Drosophila melanogaster: one gene and its partners. The protein of the gene in region 3 purifies or fractionates together with the protein of the main gene of each other region. This does not show direct contact. Each region holds a gene or a part of one and is shown on either strand. Other genes may lie near its edges.

Region 1 (6,541 bases), on a different chromosome or scaffold from region 3:
ATTTACATATTACACTCAAATGAAATGCACGCATTAATAATTTTAATTAAAATCCGTTTATTGCAATTACAAAGGGATAATCAAATCGGAGAGCTCTTTTACGGGCAGTTAACAAATTTATGGCAAATTTATTAATTGGTTTATTGCACCGCGTCTGATGTTTATAACAAATACTCGATGCGACTCGTGATTTGTGTGCCTTTAGCGATACTCTGTTAATGTGAAGTACACCTTAACCTGGGCCAACTCCGATCGGTGGAAAGTGAAGGTGGTGAAGAGTCCGTAGTCCCCGAAGGGCAGGGGCATCATGTCCAGAACCTTGACGGGAAACCGAAAGTGCTCCAACACTATTTCCGGCTGTAATCGATAGAAGAACTGAAGTAAACATCATAATCAATCATTTCTTAGGCAAACTCACTGGAATCGGACACTTGTTCACATTGGTTCTGTTCCCGAAACTGCTCAGGATGATGTTAATGAAGGGATGATTCCGCTTCTCCAGATACTCGCACACATCCGACTGGCAGATATTGTAGAGAAAGGGCTTATAGCCACTGGCCTTCTTCAGCAGCTGCATGCGCATCTGAAGGAGAAACATATTGGTATTACACTAAGGTGTTGGTGCTATACGCCAGCAGGCTGTGCTTTACACTTTACACACAACTGGCTGTAGAATATCGCCACACTTTTAAACAAACAGTTAGATACACAGGCACATCGATCTTAAACTGCCAATTTCGATTATAGCCCATGCATTAAATTCGGAATTTTCCAAAAGAAGAACACTTATTCTGGCAGTCCTAGTATCCACCGTATATTTTAGATATGTGTTTCTTTGGCCTTGTTTCGCAGTTCCTGTTCTTCGTTTACGGCACCATGGGACCGGCCTGGCAAACCTATAAGACTCTGAACAGCGGAGACGAGGAGTTCCTGGCCTGGGCCAAATACTGGATAGTTTACGCCTTCCTGGTCACCTTCGAGGTGCTGGCGGACGTCTTCCTCTCCTGGCTGCCGCTCTACATGCCCACCAAGTTGCTCCTGGTCGTGTGGATCGTGCTGTCCGCTCCGGCCGCCAATGTCTGGATATTCGACGCCATCCTGCGTCCGGTGCTGGCAAAGCGGCAGGAGGAGATCGATCACTTCCTGCACCGGGGCAAGGAGAAGCTCCTGATCGACGCCCTCGCTTCGATGACACAGCTGGTGGCACAGACCCAAATCTCTGTACTGCCTTTCGTGTCCAGCTTCTGGTCGAGATCGAGCACTGCTCCCCTTAGGACTTCCGATCTGTTGCAGGACTCCACTGGAGAAGGAATTGGAGGCAGAACTTCCGAGGATACTGACTCGGCCAACGTCTCTGTCCAAAATCTGTCCAGTGGTTCCAGTCCCGTTGGCAGCTTAGAGCACCTCCGTGACGACTCTGAGGAGCTTCTGGTGGGCGTTTCGAAGGCCACCACGCACCTGCAGGCGGAGCAGTTCCAGAGCGACGTGTCGTCGGAATCACCCAGGATAATTAATCGCCGACCTCAGCGCAAGTTCAAGAATGCCATTGCTATTGCCTCCGCCACCAAGCTGGAGGACCTCCATGACGATGTGGAGGATCTGCTGGCCAAGACGGCGATGGAGACCAGCGGCCAGGAAGTGCGTCAGCAGCGTCAACCGGCCAGCCGTCGCCGTCTTTTAGCACAATCATTTGTGAAACCTCAAACAGGTTTATAGTTATTTCATTAATTCAAAACATAAATTGGTTTTAGGCATGGATAGGTTTCAAGTTGTTTAATTACTAGTGTTTTGGACTCGCATTTTCTACTATAGATAGCTATTCAACTATGGCATTCAGGAACGCCCTAGCTTTGCAAACTAACTCACCGATACCGGACCTTTTGGCCATCGCAGGATGTTGGCCCGCAGACTCATTTCGACGACATCCCTCTTTACGGCGTACAATCGGCACAGGGAAACGGTGGTGAAGTTTTCGTCCGCACTCAGGCACTCGATGTTTGTGAACTTGGCAACTCCTTGGACCTGAAGTGAGCTAGTGTTCGGTTCATAATCCCAGCCGGCCTAGCTTACGGTCGAACTTGCCTGCAAAATGTGCCACAGCCCAAACAAGAGGAATAACTCTGTCAACGTGGCCATCACTAAGTTCACCAAAGAGCCATTAAAAACTGGCAAACTGTGGCATTATAATGTTGACGAAAGTGGCAAAAGCCAGTCAAGCGAAACCATAATCGATAGATATCAATCATTACGGGCAATTATCAATTCTGTTTAATTACTTGAACTTTCGAATTGTTGTTGAGTTTTAATTAAACAAAAACGTATGGGTCTGTATCCAACAGGCAGCACTTAACTAAACTAGGCGAATGTAAACTAGATTTGGGACATGGGTGTGTGAGGAGCGTGGTGTGTGTTTATGGAATTGATTTGTTGTGTTTATGGCCCTAATCACTGGCCTCATCTTCCTCATCCTCATCGCTGGCATTGCTGTCCTCCTCGCTCTCCTCCGGTTCGCTCTCGCTCTTGGCCTTTTTCTTCTTGGCATCGCCGTCGGATGGGGGCTTGCTCTTCTTCTTGGCAGGCTCGTTGTCCTTCTCGTCGTCGGAGCTGGTGGAGTCGTCGTCCGAAATGTACTCCTTGCTCTTGAAGCCGCTGCCCGAGGTATTCGCCTTCTTGGATGGAGAAGGCTCCGTCTTGCGCTTCTTGGAGGACTTTCCACCCTTCTCGTTGTCGCTGTCACCGCCCGCTTCAGGCTTGTAGTTGCGCATCTCGTCGTGGTAGCGCTGCTTGTCCTTGGCCGCCGCATCCTCCCACTTGGACTTGTCCTTCAGCTCCTTCCACATCTCGCCGCCCTTCTTGGCGATCTCGGTAACCTTTATGCCCGGATTTTCCCTCTTGATGCTCTCGCGCGTGTCGTTCAGCCAGAGCATGAAAGCGGTGGTGGCGCGCTTGGGTTTGCCAGAGTCCTTCTTCTTCTTGGAGGGTTTCTTCTATAAAAACATATAAAAACATGTTACCATAAGCTATAATAATAAGCAAACATTACTCACTGTTCTCTCCTTCTCCTTGTGTTTTTTCTCCTTTTTCTCTTTCTTCTCGGACTTCTTCTCCTTCTTTTTCTTGGCGCCGTCGCTGTCGCCTCCGCCGCCACTAGCATCGCTGTCATCGTCCGAATCACTCTCCACGTTGCTGTCATACTCCTCGGCCACATCGGACTCGTTCTCGTTGGGCTTGAAGTCCTCATCCGTGGACTCTTCATCCGAGTCGCCATCGTCGTCGTCCTCCTCCTTTTCCCTCGCCTCAGCCTTGAGGCGAGCCAGATAGGCATCTGGTTCGTTCTCGTTGTCCGAATCACCAAAGTCCACGTCCTTGTAGCCGCTCTTGTCCTTGCCCATGTTGCTGACATGCAACTTCTTCTGTGTGATGTAGTCGAAGAGCTTGGCATACTCCTCCTTCTCGATGGAGGAGAAGATGTGAACAGTTCCGTTCTTGAGCGTCACTTCGAAGTCGAAAGATCGCGTGGATCCGCCGCTGCGGGCAAAGTTCACAGAACTAATCTCCTCAAAGCGGATATGCAGCGGTGGCTTGTGGATATAGATGAATCCTCGCTCCAGGGGATACAGATATCCAGCTGCAGCCTTGAACGAGCAGCCCACTGCAGCCGTGCCAGAGTGTCCGATAAAGTTACCGGGTCCGGTAATTTTTCGACCGATCAGCACCTTCATCACTTTGCCCATCACCTCGTACACCGGCCCGGAGATCTCTTTCTCCAGCTTGCCCTCGTACTTGTCTCGCAACTCGGCTTCCGAGAATGGCAGCTCAATGGTGGTCTCCTCATCGGGAGCAAACAGCAGGACCAGGTAGTGGTAACGCGTTTGTCCCTGCTTGATGGGCGGATCCAAGGAGAGCACAAAGAACATCTGTCGACTGTCTTTGTGGGGCAGCATGAAGAGCCGCAGCACCGAGTCCATGGGAATCTTGTAGTCGAACGTCTTGCCGTGCAGCTGGAAGAAGGTCGAGAAGATCTTGATGTCATAGCGACCGCGAGGCGTGAGGATCTGGATCTCTCTGAAAATGGCGATGGACTCGCCCGAAGCCGAGATGACCGAGGCCTTGCTCATTACGTTCTGGTGGAACTTGTCTACCGGATCCTCCTCGGCCGACTCCACGGCGGGTATGTGGAACCGCATCTCCAGTAGACCCACGGGCGCATCGTCGTTTTGGTGGAACTCCAGGGTGACCTCGTTCTTGCCGGTCACGCACTGCGAAACGTGCGACAGCGGCACCTCGAAGATGGTCTTCGACTCCTTGTCGAAGCTCAGGACGGAGCCCATGAAGCGGGCGGTGCCCCAGTTCCAGCCCTTGACGCACATCTCCTTCTCGACCATCTCCTGCGAGTAGGCAGCCTTGATAAACTTGCCCAGCTTCTCGTGCTCGCTGTCGCGGAATCCGGTGAAGCGGTGGAGCACGCCGCCTTTGGTGAACACCCTCAGTCCCCAGGTGCCCACGAACTTCTGCGAATTGATCAGGTCTATGTCCTCTGCCGAGATCTGCTCCACCTTGCCGGTCTTGGTGTTCTTGAAGATGATGTTCTGCTCGGTCATCTTTAGGCGTCCGGAACACTTTTTTGCGCGCAGGGAAATGGAAAACCTCGGTCATGCGAAATGTGACAAAATACGCCGGCTTTTTTGCGACTCACCAAGACTCCGCGCACTTCGGCGTTTATGTCGTTGTACTCCAGAGAGTCTGTCATCCTGCACTTCTTCCTCTCCAGTAACAAGATAATAGATCAACTATGTATTACGCCGCCTTGCGAAATTGTCACCAATTTACAATAATTCCGGCAGACACAAAACAACACTGCGCGCCTAATTTTAGGTTAGACGCCAGTCAGCTATATTAGAGTGACCGTATGTGTGTTTAGTATTTTTGAGTGCACTATTCTTAAATTGCAATCGATATAAACTCTTAATATTCCAATGCAGTTTCCTTTATTGTTTATATATATCTTGTTTGCAATACATGAACAATATATGAGTCATTATTAAATTGAAAAATTTTAATGGGCAAGCCAGAGCTTATTTAAAGACCATAACAATTCGCTCGATCTTTTAAAATACCAAATTGACAGTCCGAATATAAACGGTCACTTAATTCACTTGTTTACAAAATATTTACCGCATATTTTCAGAGAAATATAGTTTTAATTAAAAATTTGAAAATCCACTTAGCGTGGGGCCTTAAAACTATGCAACGCGGTAAAATTTCCTTCGGGAAAATCAAACTGAATGTAAACGTACCTCCTGCGGAGCCAAGATCCAACGAAACCGAGGCGGAAGATGCAAAGGAGTCCACTGAAGCCAGCGGAAATGGCGGAGGATTCAAGAAAATGGACAAGGAGCAGATGATTCGGCAGATCGAGGACGTGGCCGAAGATCTGGAGAGCCAGCACCTCAAGGAAGTGATGGGCATCAGTGGCTTTGGTCGCAAGGCGGCCAAGGTGTTCGACATCAACGAGCAGATAGAAAAGGCGAGAGTTACCCGCCCGGGAATGGACAAAAAAAGGGAGGAGTCCAAGCCGAAGGAGGATGACCAGAAAGACGAGGAAGAGGAGGACGTAATAGGTCCCCTACCACCAGCTGTGACCACAGACAAGGAGAAAGCCACGAAGGAATCGTCCAAAGACGAAGACTCCGATGACGATGATTATTCGTCCGATGAAGATTCAGATGACGAACAAAGCCTTGCTAAGCGCATACCCTACACACACGAGGTGCAGATGCAGCACGGTTCCCGCGCTGTCCTTGCCCTGGCTGGCGATCCCTCGGGTGCCCGCTTGGTCTCTGGTTCCATAGACTACGATATGTGCTTCTGGGATTTCGCCGGCATGGACTCGAGCATGCGTAGCTTCCGGCAACTGCAGCCGTGCGAGAACCATCCCATACGTTCTCTCCAGTACTCCGTGACCGGCGACATGATCCTGGTCATCTCCGGAAACGCCCAGGCCAAGGTCCTCGACCGCGATGGATTCGAGAAACTGGAGTGCTGCAAGGGCGACCAGTATATCTCGGACATGTCGCGCACCAAGGGCCACGTGGCACAGTTGACCTCCGGCTGCTGGCATCCATTTAACAGGGAGCAGTTCCTGACCGCAGCTCTCGACGGTACTCTGCGCATCTGGCAGGGATTGAAGTCCAAGGAACAGTTGCAGGTGATCAAGACAAGGGCGCAGGGAGGCCTCCGCACCAACGCAGCATCATGCAACTTTAACAGGGACGCCACACTCATAGCAGCGGGCTGCGTGGATGGTTCCATTCAGACGTGGGACACGCGCAAGATGTTTGTGAACACCACGCACTGCGTCAGGGATGCGCATCAGAAGGGTTCGGAGATCACCTCCATTGTGTTCTCGTACATGGGTCAGCAGTTGGCCACTCGCAGCAACGACGAGACCATGAAGCTTTGGGATCTGCGGCAGTTCAAACAGCCGCTGCATACCTGGACAAACCTGTTCTCCCGCTACGACACAACAGATTGCTGCTTT
Region 2 (9,559 bases), on a different chromosome or scaffold from region 3:
TCTTTTAATGTCCAGTTTGCCGTACGCCCAAAGCAGGAAATACTAATTGCTGATTAACTCTTAGCAATTATACCTAATCAGCAGTTATCAAGATTATAGGAGACCTTATCGCTGATGACCACTAGCCATTCGTTAAATCAACTGGGATCGAAATTCCCACACGATCTATCAGTCTTGGCGAATCAAACCATTTTGCAGGCAAAAATAAACAGTCATAAATTAGGCAGCCAAATCTAGGAATCCTTATCAAGTTCCTGGGGGGCATATAAAAGGCACGGGCGGCCAAGTCAGCGGTCAAAGCACCTGCACCTGTGGAATACAAAATGTTGGTGGTTCAGCTAATTGCGGTTTTTTTAAGTCTGGGCTTGGCTAATGCCCTGCCTGCGGATACGGGGCGCGCCAGTTCGGTGACAACTGTAAGTTTTAGGATGCCATGTTCTTTGGCACCCAAAAGTCCTTACTAACCACTATATTGCTCTACTTTCCAGGTCACCATTGTTAGGGGACACGGTTACGAAATCGAGGAGCACGAGGTGCAGACCTCGGATGGTTACATCCTCACAATGCACCGCATACCGTACTCGAAGAACACTGGGTACGATGGGCCACGCCCTGTTGTCTTCCTTATGCACGGTCTGTTGTGTTCCTCCTCGGATTGGGTTCTTGCTGGACCTCACAGTGGGCTGGCATACCTGCTGTCCGAAGCGGGCTACGATGTGTGGATGGGTAATGCCAGAGGCAACACCTACTCCAAAAGACACGCCAGCAAGTCGCCGCTGCTGCAGCCCTTCTGGAATTTTGAGTGGCACGATATCGGAATCTATGATCTGCCCGCTATGATGGATTACGTCCTTTACTGGACAAATGTGACTCAACTTACGTATGTGGGTCACTCTCAAGGAACCACATCCTTTTTTGTGCTCAACTCTATGATTCCGCGCTTCAAGAGTCGCATTCGATCTGCTCATTTGCTCGCTCCTGTGGCCTGGATGGAGCATATGGAGAGTCCTTTGGCCACGGTCGGTGGACCACTGCTTGGTCAGCCCAATGCCTTCGTCGAGCTCTTCGGCAGCGCCGAATTTTTGCCAAATACACAGCTAATGAACCTGTTCGGGGCTCTCCTCTGCAGCGATGAGGCCATTTCACAGTTCATGTGCACCAACACCCTATTCCTGCTGGGCGGCTGGAACTCGCCATATATCAACGAGACCCTGCTCCCAGATATTATGGCCACCACTCCGGCGGGATGCTCAGTAAATCAGATCTTCCACTACCTGCAGGAGTACAATTCCGGATACTTCCGGCAATTCGACTACGGATCTACGCGCAACAAGAAGGAGTACAGCAGCAAGACCCCGCCGGAGTACGATGTGGAGGGCATCGATGTGCCCACCTATCTCTATTACTCTGACAACGACTACTTTGCTAGTCTGATTGACGTGGATCGCCTTAGGTATACCATGAACCCGAGCGCCCTGAAAAGCGCATATCGCATGCCGGAAGAAAAGTGGAATCATATCGACTTTCTGTGGGGACTGAATATTAAAGAAATTCTTTATGATCGGGTAATTAACGACATAAATAATGCATAAATGTGCGCTGGAAATAAAAAAAAGCGACATACGTTTTTGTGACATTGTGATAAAAAAAGTTCCATTGGTCACCACTTCAACGGGGGCTTTTGGTAGCTAATGAACCGATAATATACGAGTGGTCATAAATTCAAATTGATTTGGTGACACTTCACGGTGACTGAACAACGCAAAACGAACTAGCCTGCTAACATTTTTTGCCTTATAAGTGCACCTGCTAAATACAATGGATTATATTAAGTGTAATATAATAAAATATAAGCTGTACTAGATATTTTTATTTTATTTGCTGATTGTGTACTGTTGAGAAATATTTTGCACTCTTAGTTTGAATTGCGCGCCAACTTTCAGGGATGAAGCATCTTGTAAAATCATCGATAGACTTTCAGCGTTTTTTGTGGTAGTCGATAGTCCGCAACATACTGATCATAGTAAAAAATATCTGTAATGTATATTTAGGTGGGAAAATATATTCATGGCATTTATTTATACGTTAAATCAATTCTTGTTATGATATTCCTTAATTGTAAAAAAATTTTATTCTTGTTCTTATTAGCAGAATATAAAATTGACCAGTTTACGTTAACACTTTTTTTTAAATACAAAAATTTGATTTATATTTGTTTATATTTTAACGAACCGATGTGTGGTGCACCACTGTGCGTGTGTCACGACAATACCCAAGCCGATATTATCGATGTTTTCATCGATGTTATTTACTCGAGCAGGTACATCCACGCAAGGAAAGCTAATTCGAGCGAAAAAAAATTTACTTAGCTCTTAATATTTTTAAAAACAACGCCCTCGCTGGGCCAGTGGTCGGTTAACTAGTTAGCTGTAAGATGACGCGCGTAACGAGAAGTGAAATCTCCCTGGACATGGAGTTCTGGGTGGAGGAGCTGTCGCCGGCACAATTGGCGTACTACGAGAAGATTACTAACGAGCACAACGCGGTGAAGGGTGCACTAAAGAACGCGGTTAGCGCCAACGAGGGCAAGGAGCTGTTTAACGGCCAGGTGTTCCAGGCCTACTCCTTTAAGGGCAAAGTGCTGCAGGAGCTCAAGGAGGCTACGCTGCCCAAAAAACCACCCAAGCCGACGGACTCTCCCTCAACACCCGCCGCCCAAAGCGGTGGCACAGGGCGGGGTCGTGGCCGCCCACCACGACAACCATCCAACATCGCCTACCTGGAGTCCTCCGATGAGGGAGACGACGATATGCCGCTGGCCAAGCGACTGGCGCTGTCTGCAGGCAAAAAAGCAGTGGCCGTGGCCAATGCATCTTCCTCGTTCACCCCGAAATCCAGTAAGAAGGCTGCATCCGCTGCTAGTGGAGGATCTTCTTCACCGGTACCTAAGAGCAGTGGAAAACTATTTAAGGAATCCAAACCGGACATCGAATCGCCGCCGAAGAACTACCGCCCCGCCGAGGTTAATTCGGTGGGCGGTCTGGTGGTGGGCAGCACCGACGAAAGCAAGGATAGCAAAGACGGCAAGGATGGCAAGGATAACAAGATGCAAGGAAAGACATATCCATCTCTGGTGGTGCTAGCAAAGCCTTTTCTCAAGATCAAAGACATGGCTGCCACCCGCAGCAAGCTGGACTCGAAGGTTAAGCTGGTGCTCATGCTTACGCCCAATAAATTCTGCGAGTGGCTGCTCCAGGAGGGATTGCTACGCGCTCAACAGCATTGCATAAACCATCGCAACAACGAGCTCAAATTGGGTAAGAGATATATGATCAACTGAATTCGTTTATTAATGTATTTATATTTAGGAATTTATTCGGATGTGACCAAGTTTCCCTACACTGGTGGCTATGTGTGGATCAGCGAATGTTGCCCCTACCGCTTCGTCTCCGTGTTCAACAATTCCATTTTCGAAGGAGCTCAGCACCCACCCACATTCCTGTTGAAGTTAATTTACCACTGGGCTTGCCAGACCAGTATTCAAAATGTGGTGCAGTGGGTTAAGGTGGACAGTGTTTATATCAAAGGAATCTACACCTGGCTTAGAGCCATTTGCACTTTGGCAGTGCATCAAAAATGCAAGAAGCTGGGCGGTCCCGGCAAGTTTGTGGAGGTGGGTGTTATTTCCCTAGGAACCACATCCCAAGATGGCTCCCAGCGACAAGTGAAAGTTGAGGTTCTGGGCGTCTATGATTATGCGGAGAAGTCCATCCGACTGCGGGCTGTAGAGCCAATCACCGATGGTGATCGTAACTACAAAAAGCGATTCCAGGCCATTCTTGAGCCACTGTCGCGCTGGGTGCACAAGGACAGCACCATTTGTATAGACTTGACTGTCGACAAGATCACCCTCTTCAGCATGGGATTCAAAAATATTGTCCAAGCAGCTGCCACTGACAACACAGCCAAGCACAACAACTCAGCGGTAATGGAATATTTGCGACGGATTGTGCCGCGCATGTTCCAGAACACCCTATCGTTGCTATCTCGCCAGATGATTCAACAATTCCTCGACGAGTTGGTATGGCGAGAGTCCTTTGGTACATATGCCTTGCAGGCATTCAACAATATCATAATACACATTGCCGAGCAGACAAGAGTAACCACCAATGAGACAATCACTCAGCGTCTGTATCAGGTAAGCAGAATCGAAAAATTTTTATTAGCGATTAGCCTTTAATAGCTCTTTCGTTTAGGTGGCAACCAATCCGTTCAAGGACTGGAGTATTTTGCCGGCCAACTACAAGGAGACACCTGCCAATGCTGCTCCCAAGCGCCTCAAGAAACGTTAGTACTATCGTACTTTTGTAGCAAGTTTTTATTTAGGCCGTGAATAGAATAGTGCGTTATGATAATCTGTTAAGTGCCTGCGTTTCTCACTCCAAACTGAAATGTTTTCGTTTTGTTTGATTAGTTTTGGTTAATCGAACCCAACAGCTGAGCTCAGGTCCACTTATTGTGTTATGTGAATTGTGAATTTATATAATCTATATAGGTGAAATGTATCATTGATATATTCACATATGTACAATTTAAGCATTACTTCCTGACATTTCTCGTGTCTAATTATTTTAAAACAACCCCATTAGAGAAACCATAAATAAACTTGCAAGAAATTTAATAACTGTTTTTATTTGATTTCCTTTTTCATTTGGAGTGATAAAACGCAAGAAAGAATTTACTAATTAAATTGATTGGACCCATTCCACCAGATTCAACAAAAATGGACAAATATGTAATGTTTAAGTTTGTATGTTGAGATTACATCTTTTTAAGTTAACATCTTCAATTGCAGCTATCAACGATGCTGACTACGTTGTTTCTAACAAGATTCCCAAGAAGGAAAAGGATCGTGATATAGCATCATCTGGAGTCAAGCGCGGCCGTCCACCGAATGCATTAGGCACCCCACCACCTCAATTGCCAATTAAAAAGGGTCCAGGTCGGCCGCCGGGCAGTACCAACCAGACAAAAGGAGACAGAGCAACGACCTCGTCATCTAAATCACTGTCTAAATCTCTGATAGCTAAAGGCCTTGGTAAAAAACCGAAAGAAAAAGATGAAAAGATTCCAATGGTCATTAAGAAAGAAGAGGATGATCTAAGGGGCTTGGAGGAGCTGTACTATGGAATAAGTGATGGTACGGACGAGTACCACGAGATCTTTCCATATAGCACACCCCGTACGGTTCACAACGAACTGGCCAAGACCGTGGAGTGTCCAATCTGCCTGAACGGCGACTCCTTCGATTCCAATGAGAAACTCCAAACGCATTTAGTATCGCATATTTCGCCAGAGGGTAAGCAGCACCAGTTCCAGTGCCTTTTTTGCTTGGAGAAGCATCCCACCGAGTCGGTTTTGGCCAAACACAACCAGATCATGCATCCAACTGAGACAAAAACGGAGGGTTCACCCTCGTACTACTGCCTAATATGCCAGCAGCGTCACAATTCCCTGCATCTGTTGACGGCTCATTTGCAGAAGGTCCACAGCACCCTGGAACTACCATATTGGTGTCACTCCTGCGGCTATCGATCATCTTCGCACCGCGATTTGGTCAGGCATTTTTATGACGACCACAAGCATCAAAACTTTTTACAGTGCCCCTATTGCTTGGATGTAAGTAGCTGTCATGGTAAAGTAATCTTGTAAAGTTCTCTCTATTAAAAACTGATTCTTTTTAGATTTTCTACTTCTCAAAGCTTGGCGTCGTTAACCAGCTGCGCATAGAACATTACTTCATGCATTTGGACGAGCACATCAACAAGCGTGATCCCTCGCTGCGCTGCCAGAAATGCTCGCTATCCTTCCTCGAGAAGGGGGATCTAAAGCAGCACGCAGTGCAGCATCATGTGAGCATGACTAAGACCAATAGACCGGTGCGTCTCTTACTCAACAACTCGATGTTGATACCACCGCCAAAGATTCGCACCCATCACCGCGAGCAGCCGCCGTTCTCCACCTACAAGCGGCCAGTATTCTTTGCTTTTCTGGAGGGTAAGACCTGTGCCGAGTGCAACACCGATTTCGCCAGCGAGGAGACACATTACACGTAAGTTCAAAAATATTTTATTTACCTAAGCAATAAATCGCCATGGATAAAGGTGCCAGTATTCACAAGAGAAAACCAGAGCTGACAGTATCCAACCAATTCCCAAGACACACCAGCCCAGTCTCAAAGTATCCACATCGATACTTTGATAGCCCAGGACGTTATCTACAAACCTAACGTATCCAGCACGCATGGCATCGTTAAAGTCGGAAACTACCCAGTGATTCAGCAGTCCAGTATCCTGAATCTTCAATATGAAATGGTTAAGGGATGTCTCCAAGTGGCTGTCAACGCGCATTGGATAGCCAATATGTGGAGATCCCAAGCAAGCAGATGAAAAGCGAAAAATCGGCTTAAAGGCATATTGCTGTTGCATGGCAAAAAACTGCCAACGTTCTTCTGTAAAAGGGTACGCGAAGCTGCGATTAAAACTCAGCAAAGCGGACACCTGTTCACTGGCATTTACAGGCACCAAAAGCCGAGATACTTTTTCCACTAATCGAGGTTCAACATGGCGCAGAAATGTGTTAATTTCATACTCCTTGACGAGCACCCTTTGCTGCTGGTGGACAAGCTGATCCATGCTATTTACTTGCTCGCCCACTACTATGGTTGTGAAGAAGCTGTCCAACTCAATGTTGTACCAACTTGTGGACATGAATCCCAGGACTGAAAGTTGTAGGAAAATAATCAAATGGCGCCATGTTGGTCTGTAAATTGTTATAGGGGGGCTGATAAAAAGTATCTTGCTTATCGCATCTAGAAAATTCAATCCCAAGCGTTGCGGCCAAGAACTTTTATTGAGTTTCGGGCTTATGCAATAGAGAATTCCAGTGATGTAGAAAACTGCGAATAACAGAATATACCAGCTGTACAATTGGAATGGTCGCAATAGGTACATGTGCCTTGGAATCTCATTTCTCATGGGCACAATCAAGCAGTTTGGATATATTAGTAAGGGGTAACTCTTGGTTGCTGTTGGGGGTGTGAAAACGTACGGGTGCAAAGAGATTTCCAATTGACCGTCTATAATCAACTGCACAATGTGGTTCATATTCACACTAGTTGTTGGGTCTAGATTCTCATCTGGATTGGTCAAACGCAGCGAGGCATTATAGTGATCCAAATATTCCACGAATGTGCGATATGCGTATCCCAGCACCTTTCTGCTCTTCGTTAATGGATCGTGCACATGAAACACTCTCGGAATATCATTTTCCGCCGGAGTGGATACTACATATCCATGGAAATTCCTTGCTGCATGTGGAAATAGCGGTTCCGTATGAATATCGAGTTTGAAAAAACGCATCGCCGGATACGGAGTGTAGGAATAAAGCTGATCCCTTTGCAGGACAAGAACGTTGAGGAATTGATATTGCCATAAGGCGTTGAATATTGATTTAATAGCACCTTGCGAGCCACTTCTTTGATTACGCAGAATGATGATCAATCGAATGCGACGGAGTTTTCGTAGATTTCTATCCAGAGTAAGCCACATGATATCATGTTTATCATGACAAAAGAACAAAGCTATGCCATTGTATCTAGTGATTTTAAAATGACCAAGGGGTCTTATATGTTCAGGTTGGAGAAATAAATTCATTGTCAAGCTAGTAACTCCCATTGTTTGATGGAGCCAAATAATCAAGTCGTTGAGGTCGCCTCCTTGCGTATTATGTCCGACGAATATTGGTGTATTTATCCACGGCTCCCGTGTAGAGATGAGACTTAGAACGGATTTCAACAATGTCACATTGTAAGCAGCGTTTGTTAGCGCCAGTAATAAAATAACGACCAATAAGGTTAACACTTTGCACATGGTGGTTGATTCAATTGTGACAAGCCAGAACCGCGGGTTGAGGTTTATAAGTCAGCAGCTAATTGATTTAATAGTGGCTGATTGATCTCTTGGGGAAAACTCATTAGAATGTGTGAGGCAATAATTTGTAATAAAAGGTTTTGGCGCTCTACGCACTCATTTAATCACTTTTTTATATTAAATCTTTTCCCAGTGGTTGGCTACACTGCGTTAAGTGCAATTATCAGACATGTTGCGAGCGAGCGCAATTCCGTCATGGCGTGGAATGTAATGGAAACTTTGTGGACGCCATGGAAGTGAATATGCCACAGGAGATGCACTGCATCTGCGGCTTTGCCACCGGCAACGGCAACAAGATGGCTCAGCACTTGGCAAATTGTGGACTTAGCACCTGCTACCCAAGTTTGGAGGCTGCCAGTGAGAATGCCGTCAAGCGTAATATGCTGGACATGTTGGGCCTGGTTCGACGCGATGGAGAAACCTCTGGTGAAGGTGCAGATATTAGCGAGACTGCTGATGATGTCGCGGATCAGAGCTCCGACATGTTGCCGCCGCAGGAGGACCATCATTTGCAGCAACACCATCAACAGGTGGGACATCAGCAACAGATGCAGGGACAGCCGAATGAACCGCAAGCGGAACTTCAACAGGAATACTTGTCGGCGCCAGTTGAGCATGAGCCCGTGCAGAATATGCCAGTACATCAGAGCATGCCGGTGCAGCAGACCGGTCCAATACAATTTGGAGAAATGGAGGCGGCCCCAGTTTTGCTGGATACCCAGCAGCAGGTACAACCCACCCCGGATTATGCTCAAGTTTCGGTGGTGCAACAGCACCAACAGCAACAGCCCTACGGACTAAGCAACTACGGCCAAAGCTCTTTAGCCACGGATATCGACATGCCACTGATTGGAGAGCTCTCTGAGCCAAATGCTCCACCCACGCCCCAGTTCCTGGGCGAGGTGCACACGCCCATGTTCGATGCAGTCGCTGCCGCCGAGCAGCAGCACTATCACGCCCAGCACCATCACCATCCGCAATGATACAAGCCCCACGGAAAGCTCAAATCACGCGACTATACCCTTCACTGGCAGAACTATTAGTTAAAGTTCATTCATATTCATCGCACATTGGCCATATCCCGAATTCCGTATCACCAATACGAAGGCAAATAAATTGTATAGCACCTATTTATGAATTGTATATTGGCCCCTTTTAAAATTAATGAAACATCATAAATGAAATCTCAGTTGCACAAGGGATTTGAATGCTGGATGTGAGTTGGGATTTTCAAAAGATCCGTTTTGAAAGGCGTAATCAATCCTCTGCAATGGGATCTTTATCTTTACATCTAAAATATCTTTCAATTCATTTGAATATTGGAACCTTATTAATTGTAAATGACAAACAATTTAAATTGTAAATGACAAACAATTTGTAAGTTTAAAATATACCTTCATATCCTTAATTACGACTTTTATTTGTTTTGTATTGAAAAGTTTGTGAATTCTTGAATACCACGCACACATGTGGTCTACGCAATTTCGTTTAATTGGCATGAATTCAAATTATGGTAAAGTGGGAGGGCACAAAATATTTTATTGACAGGTAAGGTAACCATTATTGTA
Region 3 (5,604 bases):
CATAAATGGCATTACAGTCTCCGTTCATCCTCACATCGTACACATCGAACTCGTGCGGATGCAGAATGTGCTGTGTGAGATCGATGCTGCCCGCCTGCAGGGCTCCTAGGAGCAGTAGGTGCACTTTGCCGCTGCGCATTATCACCACCAGAAAGCAAGGTGATCCCTTTGGAAAGGACTTTTGGTCCAGGGTTTTCAGGCACGGATCAATATTGGTCATTGGCTGCAGTTTGGGCAGGAACCTTCGGTGTTTATCCTTGACATTACATGTGTAAGTTCCTAGAATCGTTTATAACACAATCAAATCCCTGTAGCTTATTTCGTATCGCTGGTTTACCTAGGTTCTCCTGCGAGTTGATGGCCTTGCTGAAGTAGACCTTCTTGATGTCGTCCTCGTAAATGAGGCCTGATATTATCGTTCCGCTCTCGGCGTCCAGGAGCGCCACCTTGCCGTTGCTGTAGCCAACCGCCAGGAGTGTCTCGTCCATTTGCCAGCTGAGCGAACGCACCCGCACATCCTCGCCGGGCGTGGGAAAGGTGACAATCTTTTGCCAGTTCAGACGCTGGATGACCACCTCACCTATCCACATGATTGGGATAAGCCCACTGGCAGTTTATTTGGTGATTCTTGGCAATTTCGGAGGCAGACGCTCACCCTTTTCCGTTCCGTAGGCAATTAGATCCATCTTGTTGTTCCACTCCATACGCTCCACAATGCAGGACATGTTGCGGGCGCCCAGCAACTTCATGGAGCTCGTTTGTGCCATCTTTCCACGCTAGAATTGGCTCGCGGCGTCTCTACTGTGCATCAAATATTTCAATATAATAATTTTAGTTTACACTTTGCCGGCTCCTGTTGCAGTCTATCGAATAATATTCCTGCTATCGATCAGAGATGAGCGGAAATAGTAGCTATTACAAATTGGTTTCTCCAATTCTTCAGTCATTTTTGACATTTTATTTGATTTTTGTCAAATGTTTAAACAAAATATTTGTATTAAAACTTCGGGACAGCGAGAAAGAATGTGTATTTATGATTGAAACTTCTTAGATATTTGTACTTATGCACGGCATGGCAAATTATCTGCCAGCACAATTTTGTTTTATTCGTACTTTACTTTAGTCTTACAAACCTACATAGTTTTAAAAGCTTTTGTTTGGAACACATAATGATTTGCGAAACAATGAAAAAATCGGGAAAATCTAAATTAATCGATCTTAATAACTGCCTGTTAGGAAAAAATCTCAAATTCTGGCTATAAAGGCGCTAGGTGGGCAGCACAATTGGCGTCTTTTGATTTCCACACAAAAATATTGGCAATTTCAATGTGTTTTTTTTTAACTTAAAGTGTTAGAAAGCTGGATAGTTGTTAAGATAGAAAGGTGGTCCTTCAGTCTGAGTCGTTCCTCATTGATCAGGTTAAGCGTAGTTTAGGCCAATTGTATTTAACACTGTGATGTTATATGCTTATAAAACATTTATGTGGGTCAAAAATAAAGGTAGATGTTAAAAACAATTTTACAATTGAACTTATAGATTAAGTATGTATATATATGTATATGTATATATGTATATGTATATACTACCGCTGACTGACGCCAGAACTTCAGTTTGTCCAATTTTTTTATCTTAAGGGCTACGCTACGAAATATGTATGTACATATATCGTATAAAGCCGGTGTGTATGTATCCACATAAGCGAGTGAATCCGAAACAGTCATCTGTATCTGCCACTCAACTAGTCATCCGCATCCGGCTGTCCGTTGTCCAGCTCACTACTCTCGTCCGGCTTGATATTCTCGTCTTGATTGATGCTGCCAATGGGGCTGGCCGGTTCGGGATCCTCCTCGTCACCGCCATCTATATTGCTGCCGCCACCGGTGGTGCCAACGCTGCCGGGAGCAGTATCATCGCCGGCCCCACTGCCGCCGACGGAGCCCAGGCCACCGGATGATCCCAAATTGACGGAATTCGTATTCCCATTACCATTGCCGCTGCCCGTGTGCCAGGTGAGGCGCTCCTCATAGAACTGTATGACCACCTGGGGGCATCGAGTGTTGGCCAGCTTGGCGGGCACAAGGTCGGCGTGATCGCTGCCCTTCCACTTCATGAGGAACATTAGGTGCCCGGATGAGTCGGTGGCGCCCAGTATTTTTGATGCCTCCAGACCGCGCTCAAAGCCGATCAGCTTCTTCTGCTCCTCGGTATCGTCCTCCAGGAAGCTCTTGCGCTTGCTGCGTATGGATTCGGGTGTGGAGGAGGTGGACAGGCGTTTCTTTGTCTCCTTCTTGTTGTTCTTCAGCGACTCCTCGAAGTTGGCTATCAGGTCTGGACAGTCGAGATTCTCCACCGGCTCCCAGGTGTTTTCGCTGCGCGGATAGCCCTTCCACTTTAGATAGTATTCCGTTCGTCCGTTCACCGTTCGCTTGTCCTCGACGCGTTCCACTGAGAATTCGGCCATTGTGCTTTTACGCTAATTGTGTTATTCCAACTGCGAATTTTGTTATTTTCTTGGCGTCCAAAACTTATTTATACGTGCGATTAAAGAGATTGAAGAAGAAGAAGAAATCAAGATGGCAACTCCATGGTCTCGCCATCGGCAACTATCGCTCTCTTGGCCAGTAAACGCATTTTAATTAAAAAGCTGAAACTTTAAAAACTTTACAATTGTAATTTTATCATTATCTCTTGACCATTTTTAAATTTTGACATATATATATATTTTTTTTAAATTACCCTTTCTACCATCCCTGTCAGCGATAACTCTCCAGAAATTGGACAATCGATAAACGGCCGTTGCGTTGCACGTGCGCTAGTTTTTAAAGAAATAAACAATATTACTAAGTACGATTAAGGAGAAAACTAAGCAAATATGGCCGAGTTCATAGCTGAGATGCAGGAGCGCCTGCTGCCGGAATACGAGCAGATGAAGAACTACAGCGTATTCACAGCGGATCAGGTCAGGTGAGAAATCCAAACGAATTTGGAGTCTGTGCCCCCATTTCATCCATATTCTTGCAGAGAAATCGTTAGCAGGCGGGAACGCTTGTTCCTTAAGATCAACAAGAGCCACCAGAGCATCACCGACTACCTGGACTTCATACTGTACGAGAAGCACATGCACATGACCATCGTGGACAAGGAAAAGAAGATGCACGTTAAACTCACCGGTCTAAAGGCCTCCATAGCCACGCGGATCATGCGCCTGTACAGAGAGGCCTTGGCTAAGTTTAACCACGACAGACGGCTGTGGAGCAACTGGATCAAGTTCAGCAGGAAGTCAAATCCTGTCGAGGTGGCGGGCATATACGAGAAGATGCTGCTGGTTAGTATTTGCCAGCCTGCTCACTTCCATTGATTACTTATCCATTGTTGTTATTCTTTTGCAGTACCATGGCGACTCGCCGGATCTTTGGGTGGACGCCGCCTTATGGCTGTACGAGTTCAATCGGCTCAACATCGATCGAGTCAAGGACATCCTGCTGCGTGGCTTGCAGAGACATCCGGATTCCGAGGCACTTAACAAGTGCTTCTTTGACATTATGCTGAAAGAGGCTGCCCTGGCCAGCAACGAACGCAATTTAGCCGAGAATACGCTCTCGGAACAGGACATCAAATTGGAACGCGTGGAGGCGGTCTACCGCAACAGCATGGCCAATATTACCCAATTGGACTACTTTGTTAAGCTTCTAGAAAGCTGTGAGGATCATCAGGAGCTGACGGGCAAGCTGCAGCGAATGATAATCGATGATATGCAAGAGAAGTTCCCCCGGGAGCCGGGCCTGTGGGATTTGCTTGCCCAGCGAGAGTTGCGCGGCTTTCATCTGGGCGACCTGGAGGAGGAGGACTTGGATACCAGTGACGAAGAGCCGGCCAGCAAGAAATCTCGTTCCGTAAATGGCCGCTCTCTCAAGCGACGCATTCAACTCTGCGTTACTGTATACAAATCGGCGGTGGAGGAGCTGCAAACGACAGAAATGTGGAATATGTATTTGGATGCCATGCTGGCACTCAATAGCGATGGAAAGACGGAGCGTATACTAAAGCAACAGTGCCTAGCGGATGCCTTGCAGGCGGGCCATCGCTCTCAGTTGATGGGCGTGAAACACTATGCCACATTAAGAAAGATGCTCTGCACTGCTCCGAGTGGAAGGGAGGCAGCTGTCACCATACTCACGGAAGCCCTGAAAAACGATTCATCGGTGGAGATGCACGAGCTTCTTCTGGCCACGCACATTCAAAGCGACAGTGAGCCCTTGATCTATGAGCTATTCAACAAGATCCAGAAGAGCATGGGCAGTGAGGCGTTGCCGCTGTGGCGCAGTGTCATTCTGTATTATCGCACTCGGCAGGATAGCTTGGGCGCACGCCGGCTGGATGAGATCTACGGTCTCGCCTGCAAGGCTGCGTGGCCGGAATTTGGTGAGCTGCGCTCCGATTATTTGCGCTATCTGTGGCAGGAGCGGTCTGTCGAGGAAGCACGCAAGGAGTACGCCAAGCTGGCCATTCTACCGCCCATGTCGTTGGCGCTGCACCGCCAAATGGTTCAGCTGGAGTCCAGTGCGGCAGCTTGTGTATGTTTTGTTATCTTTGCTACTTTGGCATATAATTGCGAGGCGCAACTAATTTACTTTATCTGTTGCAGGACCAGGCCAGCCTGAAATACTGGCGCATGTGCTACGACTTTATGGCCTGCTATTTCGGCAAGACACAGCCGCGCGTTTGGGTGGAGTATCTCGCCTTCGAGCGAGATCACGGCGAGGCGAAGAACATCTCCCTGCTCACCCAGCGGGCTCTCAGCACCCTAGAGCCTCAATATGTCGCCGCGTTTGAGGCGGAACGGGCACTGGCCTATGTGGGCGCATCGATATAGTTGGCTAAATAGTTTATTTGTGCTTCTGTTTTTTTCATTAACTTAATTTCTAAGTCGATCTTTCGGACTGTCTATAGTGATTCGATTCTAAAATAAGGACTTGTGAATATACAGCTTATAAGATAATTTATGAAATCTGATTTTTACTTTGGCAATATGCAGGTGTGTGAATTCAAAGTACAGTCATATGGAAAAGTTCTCATTTAACCATCCTATTGTTGAAATGTCCTTTTCAAAAGCGGTTAAATTATGAGTAATGCTATACGAGAATATCCTTTAACCTCTTCCGTCGACGGATGTGCTCATAAATCCGAGCTAATTGCGTTTTCCGAAGGTAAACAAAAACATGGGCATTAACTTTGCCTGCCTGACGCCGCTGCCGCCGCCGACAGCGCTGCCGACGTCGACGCCACTGGAGCTTTGAAAGCGAGTGGCGGCAGAGCAGTTGGCCAGTTCACTTGCGTACGCCGTGGCATCAACACGCACCAGCAAAATCAAGCGCATCCAGTCGACCCAATCCAGTTCCATTCCATAAAAGCCAACGAAAGCGAAATCTCAACCGAGCGTCATGGAGTTCAACAATCGCCTCTTGCTGAAGATCATCGAGCTGGTGAGTAATTGTATTTAAACTAGATCCGAAGGAGACACCTTGTTAACAACACAGTATTAGTTAGTTGATCATCCAAAATACAGACAATTAAATTGCTCATTAAAACTTTTTAATGTTGCA
Region 4 (8,707 bases), on a different chromosome or scaffold from region 3:
GCCGCTAATGTCTGGAGTGCACATCCAAGTTCATTAGTCTTGGATGGGTGCGGAAAAGCTACGCGACACGAAATGGAAAGTTTTGGCGAAGTTTCCAGCTGGTGAATGGTCGTAAATCGCAGTGCGAAAAGCTAAAGTTCTAAAAATATCCCGGCACTTGAAGGCAATCGATGTGCCCGCAGCTGGCAGAGATGGGCGAACGCGAGCCGGAGTCGGACGAGGACTGCGAGGTCTATTGTAAGTCGTTCCCCGTAGGCTGGTAGCAGCAGCATGTCCTTACTCATGGATTATTCCGCAGTCCTGAAGCCGGTCAACGAGTACAACATTGTGGACAGGATCAAGGAGGCCAACAAGGAGCTCTTTGCGCTGGACGACGAGGCCTCCAATGGCAACGGCAAGGTGACGAAGGTGAAGTTTGCCCTGAATCTGGAGGATTACGAGCCCACGGAGCAGCAGAAGGATCTCAGTCCCAGTCCGCCCGATGAGCTGCTGCAGCAGTTGACGCAGCTGAAGCTGAAGCCCATTGCAGAGGAAGAACCAGCGGCTGCAGACGAGACCAAGGTGGTAGAAACGCCTCCTCCGATGGAAGAACCCCAAGTAGATGATGAAGTGGAGGAGGAGATATGCGAGGAAATCGTGGACTTGAGTGAGGTGCCCCAACAGCCAGTGGTCCAGGAAGCCACTCCCATTGAGGATGAAGACGACTTCTCCGGCGTGGATGAGGCGGACCTGGATGACGATCCTCCGGCGAAGGACTCTTCTGTTCCGGGCTCCCTTCAACTGAGACAGGGCACTTTCGACCAGGATGACTCCGACCAGAAGAGTCTAACCAATCTGCTAACCGAATCTGATTGCGAAGAGGAGGAACGCACCTTAAATGAGGCTCGCCAGAAGCTAAGGGATGCCTACAAGAATCTTTACAAGACCTTGGATCCGAAACAGCAAGAAACCATTGACAGGTTGACGGGAGCCGAAACTGAAGTGCCTTTGCCGGCGCCAGCGCCTGTGGTGGCTGCAGTTGAAGCCGAAGAGGAGGATGATCTGTCCATCATTGTGGCCAGCTATATTCCAGATGATTTTGAGCTCAACGAGCAGAGCATTTACTACAAGAAGGAGGAGCCCGATGAAGTCAGGGATTCGTGCACCACATGTCCCAAGGCGACTTCCAAGACCTTCTTCACTTCGCGCAGTTTTAGCTTTCGCCGTCGGCCCAAGCCCACGCCCACTCTATCCTCTGCCTCCGCTTCCACGACGTCTCCTTCGGTGCGGATGAACTACAAGATCTGCTGCGAGCACCGGCATTCGATTCAGGGCAAGCTACCCAGGTACACGGGCTACATGTCCGAGTACGGACTGACTGCCCAGCAACTGCAGCGGCGCGACCAGCAACTGCGGCGGAAGCAGCGCTTCTCCATGGAGCAGACCATCAATCGCAACGAGCAGGAGCTGAAGAAGATGCAGGACAACGAGCGCGCCTTCACCACCTGGCTGAAGAACAAGATGCGCTATCCGATCAACAAGACCCGCAACATGTTCGATGCGCACAAAAGGCGGGGTAGTGTGGCCGCCGCCGGAAGTCCGCGCCAGCATCCCCAAGCTCATCCGCATCTGCACCAGGAGCAGGAGCAGCGCGGCGGACGGCGAAGGCGGCGGCGCGACAGCGGGGAAGTGGAGGTGCACGCCTATCGGCATCTGCTCGGCAGCTGGAACAAGTAGGAGTAATGTAGTTCTTACATTAGTTTATTATATTAATGTATCGTATTATATTTAATTTGTAATACAACTTTTGAAGCGTGACAAAAATGAGTGACGGGGGATTGGGGTGGCGGGTCCTTTAACAGATAGACAATGGTAACAGGAGAGCTAGATTACGAACGGAGTGCCACACAGGCTTGGCGACAGGAACAGCTCCCTAATGTCGCGACTTCTTCGACTTGTGCCCATTGTCGCGACTGTCATCCCGCGAGCGCTTGCGATCCTTGTCCTTGCTGCTGCTCTTGTTTCCGGACGATGAGGAGGAATGATGCTTGTCCCGGCTGTTGTACTTGTCCTTCGACGACTTCGACGGGCTTTAAAATAATCAAGGGAATTTGGAAATGTGTTAAAAGAAATTTCACAAATAATTACTCCTCTGTGGTTATCAATTTTGAGCAAGCGAGTTATGATGCTGTTCTTTTTTTTTCTTTCTTTTTATCAATTTTGCCAGACTGAACAATCATAAATAATTCAACATAAACCCAAACAGAAAGTGGTTGTAAACGGATGGAATTTGGGGTATCCCTATCCAAAACTTGCCAAGCCAACACCAGAAATAAATAATATCAACAAAAAATAACTCTTAAAAACGTCCAATTGCTTGGTTTTTTGTTCCACCAAAGAAGAAAATCAAATTTATAACGAAACTTCCAGTGTGTAATGGTTTGTGAGTGAAAAATGATATGTGAAATGCACTTGCGTTAGGCCGTATGGTTGGGTATTAAGTGTTCGGGGCTTTCGATAACAAACCTAGATGAGCTGCCATGTTTGGAGCTGGAGGACTTTAAATGCGAAGAGGACGAGGAGGAGTTCGACTTGTGCTTTTTACTGTGCGACGACGATCGAGCCTCCTCGCGGTCGCGGCGACTGTGGTGGACGTAAAATGTTGTAGAACGATTGATATAGATAAGAGAAAGGAGATCTCGGATAAGGTAACCCTTAATGGAAACCCGTCCATGATGGGATCGTGGCTCATACCTGTGCTTTGAACTCTTGCCGTGCTTCTTCGAATCGAATTTGCCGTTGCGTGGTTTGTCATCTGCGGCATAATCGTGGTTGCGGTCTTCCTCAGCAGCCTCGCGCTCCAGATCGGACCAATCCTTGCCAGATTCCTCATCAGAGCCAAGGTCCTCTGTAAATTATGATGAAAATATTAACCAACTAGAAGATATGGAATGTTTTGGGTTTGTGCATACCATCGCTTTCCTCGCTGTCTTCTGATGCCTCTGAGTACTCGGAATCTTCGTCCGACTCCTCATCCGATTCGGCGTCGGTGGGATTGTAGGCCTCGTCCTCTTCGGATTCGGCGGTTTCGTTTTCGCCTTCGCTGCCCGATTCCGGGTCCAAGAATGTCCAGCCGCCTTGTTCAAAGAATCCCTCAGGATCGTCGGTGATGGTCTTCATGATCTTTTGCCAGTTCAGGGATTGAACACCCTCCGAATAGCGGATGTCGCAGGAGCTACAGGATACTCATTAGTAAAAGTGCATTTTGCAAATGGGCAGATGAACTTACTTGAGCCACTCCTTCACGTGATCCAGCATGTTCATAGGAATGGCGTTCACCATGGCAACCTTCTTATTGTACTCCTTGAACACAAATATCATATCGAAGTTGCGCAAGTGGAACTGAACGCGCTCGAAGTGCACCAACTCCACATCGTCCAGCGTGATGACAAATGGTGGCCATTCCGTCAGATTGACCAGGGAGCCCGAGGTGGGTTGCAGCGTCACCGTGCTGCGGAAGGGTGCTCCAGGGAATCCCAACTCACGGAACGGCGTGTCGAACTCCACTACCGACTTGGTCATGGTTTCCACCTTCTCGCAGAAGCTCTTGAAGGCAGTCTTGAGCTTGTGCCGCAGCTCACGTTCTGCCTGCTCAGCAGCCAAGTCGTCGCGGTCGTGCATGTGCTGGTGCTTGCCCAGATCCGTGGTGATCTCTCCCACTTCCGTGTAGAACTGTACATCCACGTGCTTCTTTTTGCCAAACATAATGGCGTACTTCAGGTGGAAATGCAGAAGAATGATCATCTCGCCATCGCAGGGCTGGAAAAACGCGCTTTTGATGTTGTTGTACAAGATGTCCACCTTGTCGCCGCGCACGGAGATGTAGCGGAATCCATTGCTGTGCGCTTCCAGGCTGCCCGTCATGCGCTTGGTCACGATGTTGGGCCGAATGTATAGGTCCTTCAGCTTGGGATTACCCTTGTTCTGGGACAGAATGAGTGTGTCTTGCTTCACAAGATCCTCCTTTTCGCGCTCCTCAGCCTCGCGGGTCTTGAAGCGCTTCTGCACCTCCTTGATCAGCCGGAAAGCATTGTTTAGATTTGCGGATGGAGCTCCCACCTCCCCGTGTTCCTTAACATTAGAGCTGCGGTATGTACTGCAGGAAAAGTGTCTAGTTAGTGCATTCCTTAAGCAGATTTCGCACTATACTTACACTTCCTTGACAAATGTGGCCTCTGGCTGAGGATAGAGTCCGCCTTCGTTGCGACCCATTGTGGCGCCGGGATGAAAGAAGTTGATACGCAAGTACGTGTACTCGCCCTCCACCGACTGCGAGATGTTCTTGATGGTGGATATATGGAACGGCACCTGGATGCCGAACACTGGCATGATGACGGTCTCGTACTTCTTATCCACGTAAAGCTTGAGCTCCTTGACTTCCGGCTCGCGCGGCATTTGGCTGATGGACTTGTAGGAGACGGTGTTCTTGCGCACTTTCTCGACCTCCTTCGAGTTTCCCTGCCTGGCCAGCCGATCCTTGGCGCGCTCGTTCAGCTGCTGAGCCAGCTCGCGCTGGTGCTCCTTGCGCTTCTCCTCCGTGTTGATCTCGTTTCGCAGCTTTGACTCCAGCACCGCGTTGCGCTTGCTGCGGCCCAGGATCTCGGTGCCCTGATCTTCTTTAGCGGTCTTCTTGTCGTCCACATCTTCCTCGTCGCTGTCGTCCTTGATAAAGATGCCGACGTTCTTGATCTTCTTCTTGGACGGAGTCATCACACTGGCTGGGGATTGTTCGCCTACTAGCACAGTGTCTCCGATGAAGAGGGCGTAGTTCTTGCCCTCTTTGTCGGTGGCTTCGGGATTGGTCAGATTCGAGATGCCCACGTGCAAATTAAAGACCATATTCTTCTTGAGTAGCGCCTGGCATTTGGGTCCGATGACAATGGAGTTCTCCCGGAACTCTAGGCCCATGGCGAAACCAAAGCTTTTGGGCAGATTGTCCACCATACTCGGCTTCTCCTTCTTCACGAAGTCCAGGGTCTTTTCGTAGACGTCGCACAGCTTTGTGCCCGGAACCAGCAGCTTGAGAATCTCCTCCTGCACACTTACCAGAAATGTGTAGTTCTCCTGCATGGCCTCGGTGGGATTCACCAGAAAGGTGCGCGATATATTTGAGCAATACGACTTGTAGCGGGCGCCCAAGGAGCACACAATCACACCGAAGTGCAAGGGATTTTTGTCCGCCACCGCGGAGAACTTCAGGCTGTAGGCTCCTCCCGATTGGATGATGGGTGGGTAGGCCATATCGAGGAGTCTGGGATCCAGACCACTGGTGTACTTCTTCTCGCCAATGGCAGCCTCGCAGCCATCTGAGAGCTTGTTGTGTTTGACTTTCTAAAAAGGAGGTTAAAAAGGTTAATATATTAGGAAAACACATAATATTATAGCCGCCAGGTGCTCACCCTATCCGAATCAATAATGTCCATGATCTCATCTTTCAAATACTTGTTGAAAATGTCCATTGACACTAGCGATGCCTTGCGTATGTTGTTGATCTCCGACTCATCCTTGGGACACATGAGGTAGGCGATAATAGTGCTAATGTCCACATGCTCGAACTTGGACGCCGTCAGGGATTTCTTCCATGCTTCGCTGAACTCCCCGGGATAGGCGTCCTTGGCGAAGACGCCCAAACGCTTGCCCTTCTTCGAGTTTTGCAGGGCTTTGATGAGCTTCTCGAAGTTGCCCTGGTCCTTGTCCGTCTTCTCGAAGTCAAGATCAGAAAGGATTAGAGAACTTTTGGCCTGGAGCAGAAATCGAAACTCACCCGATCCCTAACAAGCAGATTGATTTCCGGAAAACCTTCTTCGGTGATGTTCTGCGTCTGCTTCAGGAATTCTATTTTCTTTTTGCTAGTGAGAAAATACACGGCATCCGAGCAAAACACTGAGATGGTGTCCGTCAGCTCGTAGCCCAGCAGCCAGAGCTGCAGGGCCATGGACTTGGAGTACATGACATCCTCTTCGACGCCCACGATGCTCATGATGCAGTCCAGATTCCTGAGCGCGTCATCGTGTCCGATGCTGGGAGCCTGCGAAAGACAAAGAGTCCGATATTATTATGCAGTAATCCTCTTTTCCCCAAACAACCTGGTCTATGGGTAATTAATTTCACCACATCTCCCAATCTTTCATTATCGTGACCCGTCTGCAGAGTCTCCACGTGCTCCCCGGTGCTCCTGCGGCCCCAAAAACACGCAGATCGCCGACCGGCGGACAGACTCACCCTCCATTCCGTGTAGAGGCGTTTCACGCGGCGCACGAACGCCTCCTTGTCCAGCACAAAGCTCGACATATTGCCGCCGGATTTGTTACTGTGTATGCGTTAACTCCGCTTAAAATGCGCTAAACGCCAGAAATTGCATTTGCAAATTCCGCCGGATAAAAAAATTGCGCGGCGACCAGATGAAGAAGAAGCAGAATAAGCGTCAGCTCGACGTGAGTGAGACCGCTCTCAAAAATACCGTAATATACCAGTTGTCAATGTAAAAATAGTGTAACCAAGCAACAGTACAGACACGTCTAGCAGGGACTCGAACCATATATGAACATTTTACGCGCTAAAAATTGGTGCACTGAAAAAAATGTTTAAAACTGGATTTAATTAAAAATGTGTCTCGCCAAAAATACATTTTTACATTAAATAAAAGACTTTGGCACAGGCTTCGTTTAAATATAGCTAATTTTATTATTGTTTTCTTCAGTATTATCAACATTTGCAATTACGTACTGTGACGGCTAATATGTGAGTTCGTTGAACTTGATTCATTGGTTTTTAGCAAAGTCTAAGAATTCAGAGCTAGTTTAATTCTTTGTGCCCGCCGGACTTTCGGCCTCATCCGGCCGGGCAACCTGCAGATACTCCTGGATATCGTAGTCGAACAGCTCGAAGTCGTATCTGTGGGGAGGAATTTTAACTTGTAAGTATGCTACCATAATCTAAAAATTTAAATGGATGACCCACTTGTAATACTCGTAGAGCTCCAGCATTTCCTGGCGTGTCAGCTGCGCATAGAACTGCTGCTGGAGCTCGTGCGTCTTGCGGCCCTTGCCCATGTTGCGCCACACGGGCGCTATCACCCGCTTGAGGCCAGTCTTTTCGATTAGATATAATTGATCCTCCGCCAGCGATTCGAACTTCAGTATCATGTCGAACCGGATGAGGCAGGGTGTGCAGAACGAGGTGGCCGCCACGAAGTGCATGTCGATGAAGCTGCCGCGCTTCACCTGGTCGAGCAGCCAGTGCACGAATTCCGGAAACGATGGGAACTTTGTGTTGGCCGCACGGGCAGCCAGTGACGGCTATTGGATAAAATACAATGTATTAGATGCATTCGATGCGTATACTTGATATTGCTATTGCAACAATATCGTGTATACGCAGTGGGTTACAGTCGAAATGCTTACCTTCTTGCGGTAGTTGCGCACAATGCTGCGTCCCAACTTATCGTGGAAGGAGTAGGGCAGGGCGAACACCATCTTGTCCCGATAGGCACTCAACAGCCGCTCGAAGGGATCGCGTGCGATGATAAAGGTCACCGAGTAGTTCTGTGCCTCACGCAGCTGTCGCCCGAAATAGAAAGAGTTTAATTTAGGTTTGAGGAAGGGGATTAAGAACTCCTTTCGAGACGCACCTCGTCGAGGGTCACCCTGGGATAGCGCTCCCTGGCCAGGTTGAGAAGGATCTTCTTGGTTTTGCGCAGATAGCTGGGCGAGTAACCGGCCAGGACGTTGAAGTTGAACATCCAGGACGATGAGGCAGCCTTAAAGACATTGCACCTGCACGGAAAATAAATAGTAAGTTAAGATCCTATTTGTCAAATCCGAATGACACACTAAAATGGAATCGTTGAAGAGTGAATAAAGGGCACACCCACCAGATAATGTGATACTTTTTGTTGACCAAAAATTCCCACGTGTTCGGCGTGTGCCACGCGTCGTGACCTGTAAATAAAACACAAGCGATCAGACCCCAATCCATTTGGCGAATCCAAAGCGAAGGACCCACCCAGGACATCCAGGCCGTAGGCGGAGCACTTGTCCTTTAGCCGCTCCCTGCGCTGGTCCATCCGCTGCTCCACCTGGAGCATTTCCTGCGGCGTGAGTGTCTGCACGGCATGCTCGGGGATGAGGGGCAGGAGTGTCTGGTTGCTGTCCTGTTTGGAGGGCAAATATGCGAAAGGTGAGCCACAGTGAGTCCAGTACATGGGTTTCTCGACCGGAATGGGGCTAGAGAATGGGGGGTGGGGTGCCCAAATGCCTGCCAATGCGACTCGCTAATGCGCAATCAATTTGGCTATCTGAATTTTATTTAGCCGCTCTGTTTACATCATTAATTATACGAGCCTGTGACTTGAAGTGTTTGTTGTGTGTGGTGTTGGGTGTGTGTGGCAGTTTTGTTGCGTATGTGCTTGTGTATGTTTTTGTTACATGGTGTATGGTGTATGGTGTTTGTGCGGGTTACATATTTACTTTATCAACATAGCGCCACTTGTTCTTGGTCTTGCCCGTTGCCACGACGGTCAGGTCCTTGTTCTTGTTCTTGTTCAGCAGCAGCACCGGATACCGGACCACCGGATACGGAAACTGGCCATGTTGCTGCGGCTGCTGCTGCTGCTCCTGCTGTTGCTGCTGCGGCTGCGGCTGCTGCGGCGATTGCTGCTGCACATTAA

What was found.
Region 1: the proteins of HP1b (region 3) and Ssrp purify together in Drosophila melanogaster (affinity purification with western blotting; 2 studies listed by BioGRID, with this or other methods). This does not show direct contact.
Region 2: the proteins of HP1b (region 3) and row purify together in Drosophila melanogaster (affinity purification with western blotting; one study listed by BioGRID). This does not show direct contact.
Region 4: the proteins of HP1b (region 3) and dre4 purify together in Drosophila melanogaster (affinity purification with western blotting; one study listed by BioGRID). This does not show direct contact.

What each region holds. Positions count from the first base shown.
Region 1 is NT_033778.4:23,804,114-23,810,654, forward strand, and holds Ssrp (structure specific recognition protein), read right to left. Parts: upstream 4,892-6,541; 5' UTR 4,751-4,891; coding exon 4,697-4,750; intron 4,620-4,696; coding exon 3,048-4,619; intron 2,988-3,047; coding exon 2,442-2,987; 3' UTR 2,248-2,441; downstream 1-2,247. Other genes in the region: CG13561 (uncharacterized protein), read right to left, coding at 202-357, 419-583, 1,867-2,022, 2,083-2,136; CG5539 (uncharacterized protein), read left to right, coding at 826-1,716; CG5543 (uncharacterized protein), read left to right, coding at 5,246-6,541. UniProt on the Drosophila melanogaster protein: Component of the FACT complex, a general chromatin factor that acts to reorganize nucleosomes. The FACT complex is involved in multiple processes that require DNA as a template such as mRNA elongation, DNA replication and DNA repair.
Region 2 is NT_033778.4:15,206,365-15,215,923, reverse strand, and holds row (relative of woc), read left to right. Parts: upstream 1-2,289; 5' UTR 2,290-2,434; coding exon 2,435-3,317; intron 3,318-3,368; coding exon 3,369-4,198; intron 4,199-4,256; coding exon 4,257-4,347; coding exon of another isoform or gene 4,348-4,352; exon of another isoform or gene 4,353-4,679; intron 4,680-4,855; coding exon 4,856-5,679; intron 5,680-5,744; coding exon 5,745-6,112; intron 6,113-6,137; coding exon of another isoform or gene 6,138-7,931; intron 7,932-8,124; coding exon 8,125-8,974; coding exon of another isoform or gene 8,975-9,034; 3' UTR 9,035-9,397; downstream 9,398-9,559. Other genes in the region: CG8093 (uncharacterized protein), read left to right, coding at 324-416, 489-1,592; Ir51b (ionotropic receptor 51b), read right to left, coding at 6,138-7,931.
Region 3 is NC_004354.4:9,078,217-9,083,820, reverse strand, and holds HP1b (heterochromatin protein 1b), read right to left. Parts: upstream 2,568-5,604; 5' UTR 2,463-2,567; coding exon 1,740-2,462; 3' UTR 1,075-1,739; downstream 1-1,074. Other genes in the region: APC4 (anaphase promoting complex subunit 4), read right to left, coding at 1-279, 338-580, 656-767; CG7246 (uncharacterized protein), read left to right, coding at 2,874-2,965, 3,023-3,326, 3,391-4,575, 4,647-4,874; CG44325 (uncharacterized protein), read left to right, coding at 5,443-5,484.
Region 4 is NT_037436.4:1,869,849-1,878,555, forward strand, and holds dre4 (dre4), read right to left. Parts: upstream 6,465-8,707; 5' UTR 6,331-6,464; coding exon 6,262-6,330; intron 6,068-6,261; coding exon 5,804-6,067; intron 5,739-5,803; coding exon 5,439-5,738; intron 5,371-5,438; coding exon 4,193-5,370; intron 4,136-4,192; coding exon 3,269-4,135; intron 3,215-3,268; coding exon 2,952-3,214; intron 2,888-2,951; coding exon 2,734-2,887; intron 2,623-2,733; coding exon 2,506-2,622; intron 2,070-2,505; coding exon 1,913-2,069; 3' UTR 1,726-1,912; downstream 1-1,725. Other genes in the region: CG13924 (uncharacterized protein), read left to right, coding at 171-237, 299-1,716; CG13937 (uncharacterized protein), read right to left, coding at 6,840-6,933, 7,000-7,337, 7,443-7,598, 7,670-7,814, 7,913-7,979, 8,044-8,191, 8,508-8,707. UniProt on the Drosophila melanogaster protein: Component of the FACT complex, a general chromatin factor that acts to reorganize nucleosomes. The FACT complex is involved in multiple processes that require DNA as a template such as mRNA elongation, DNA replication and DNA repair.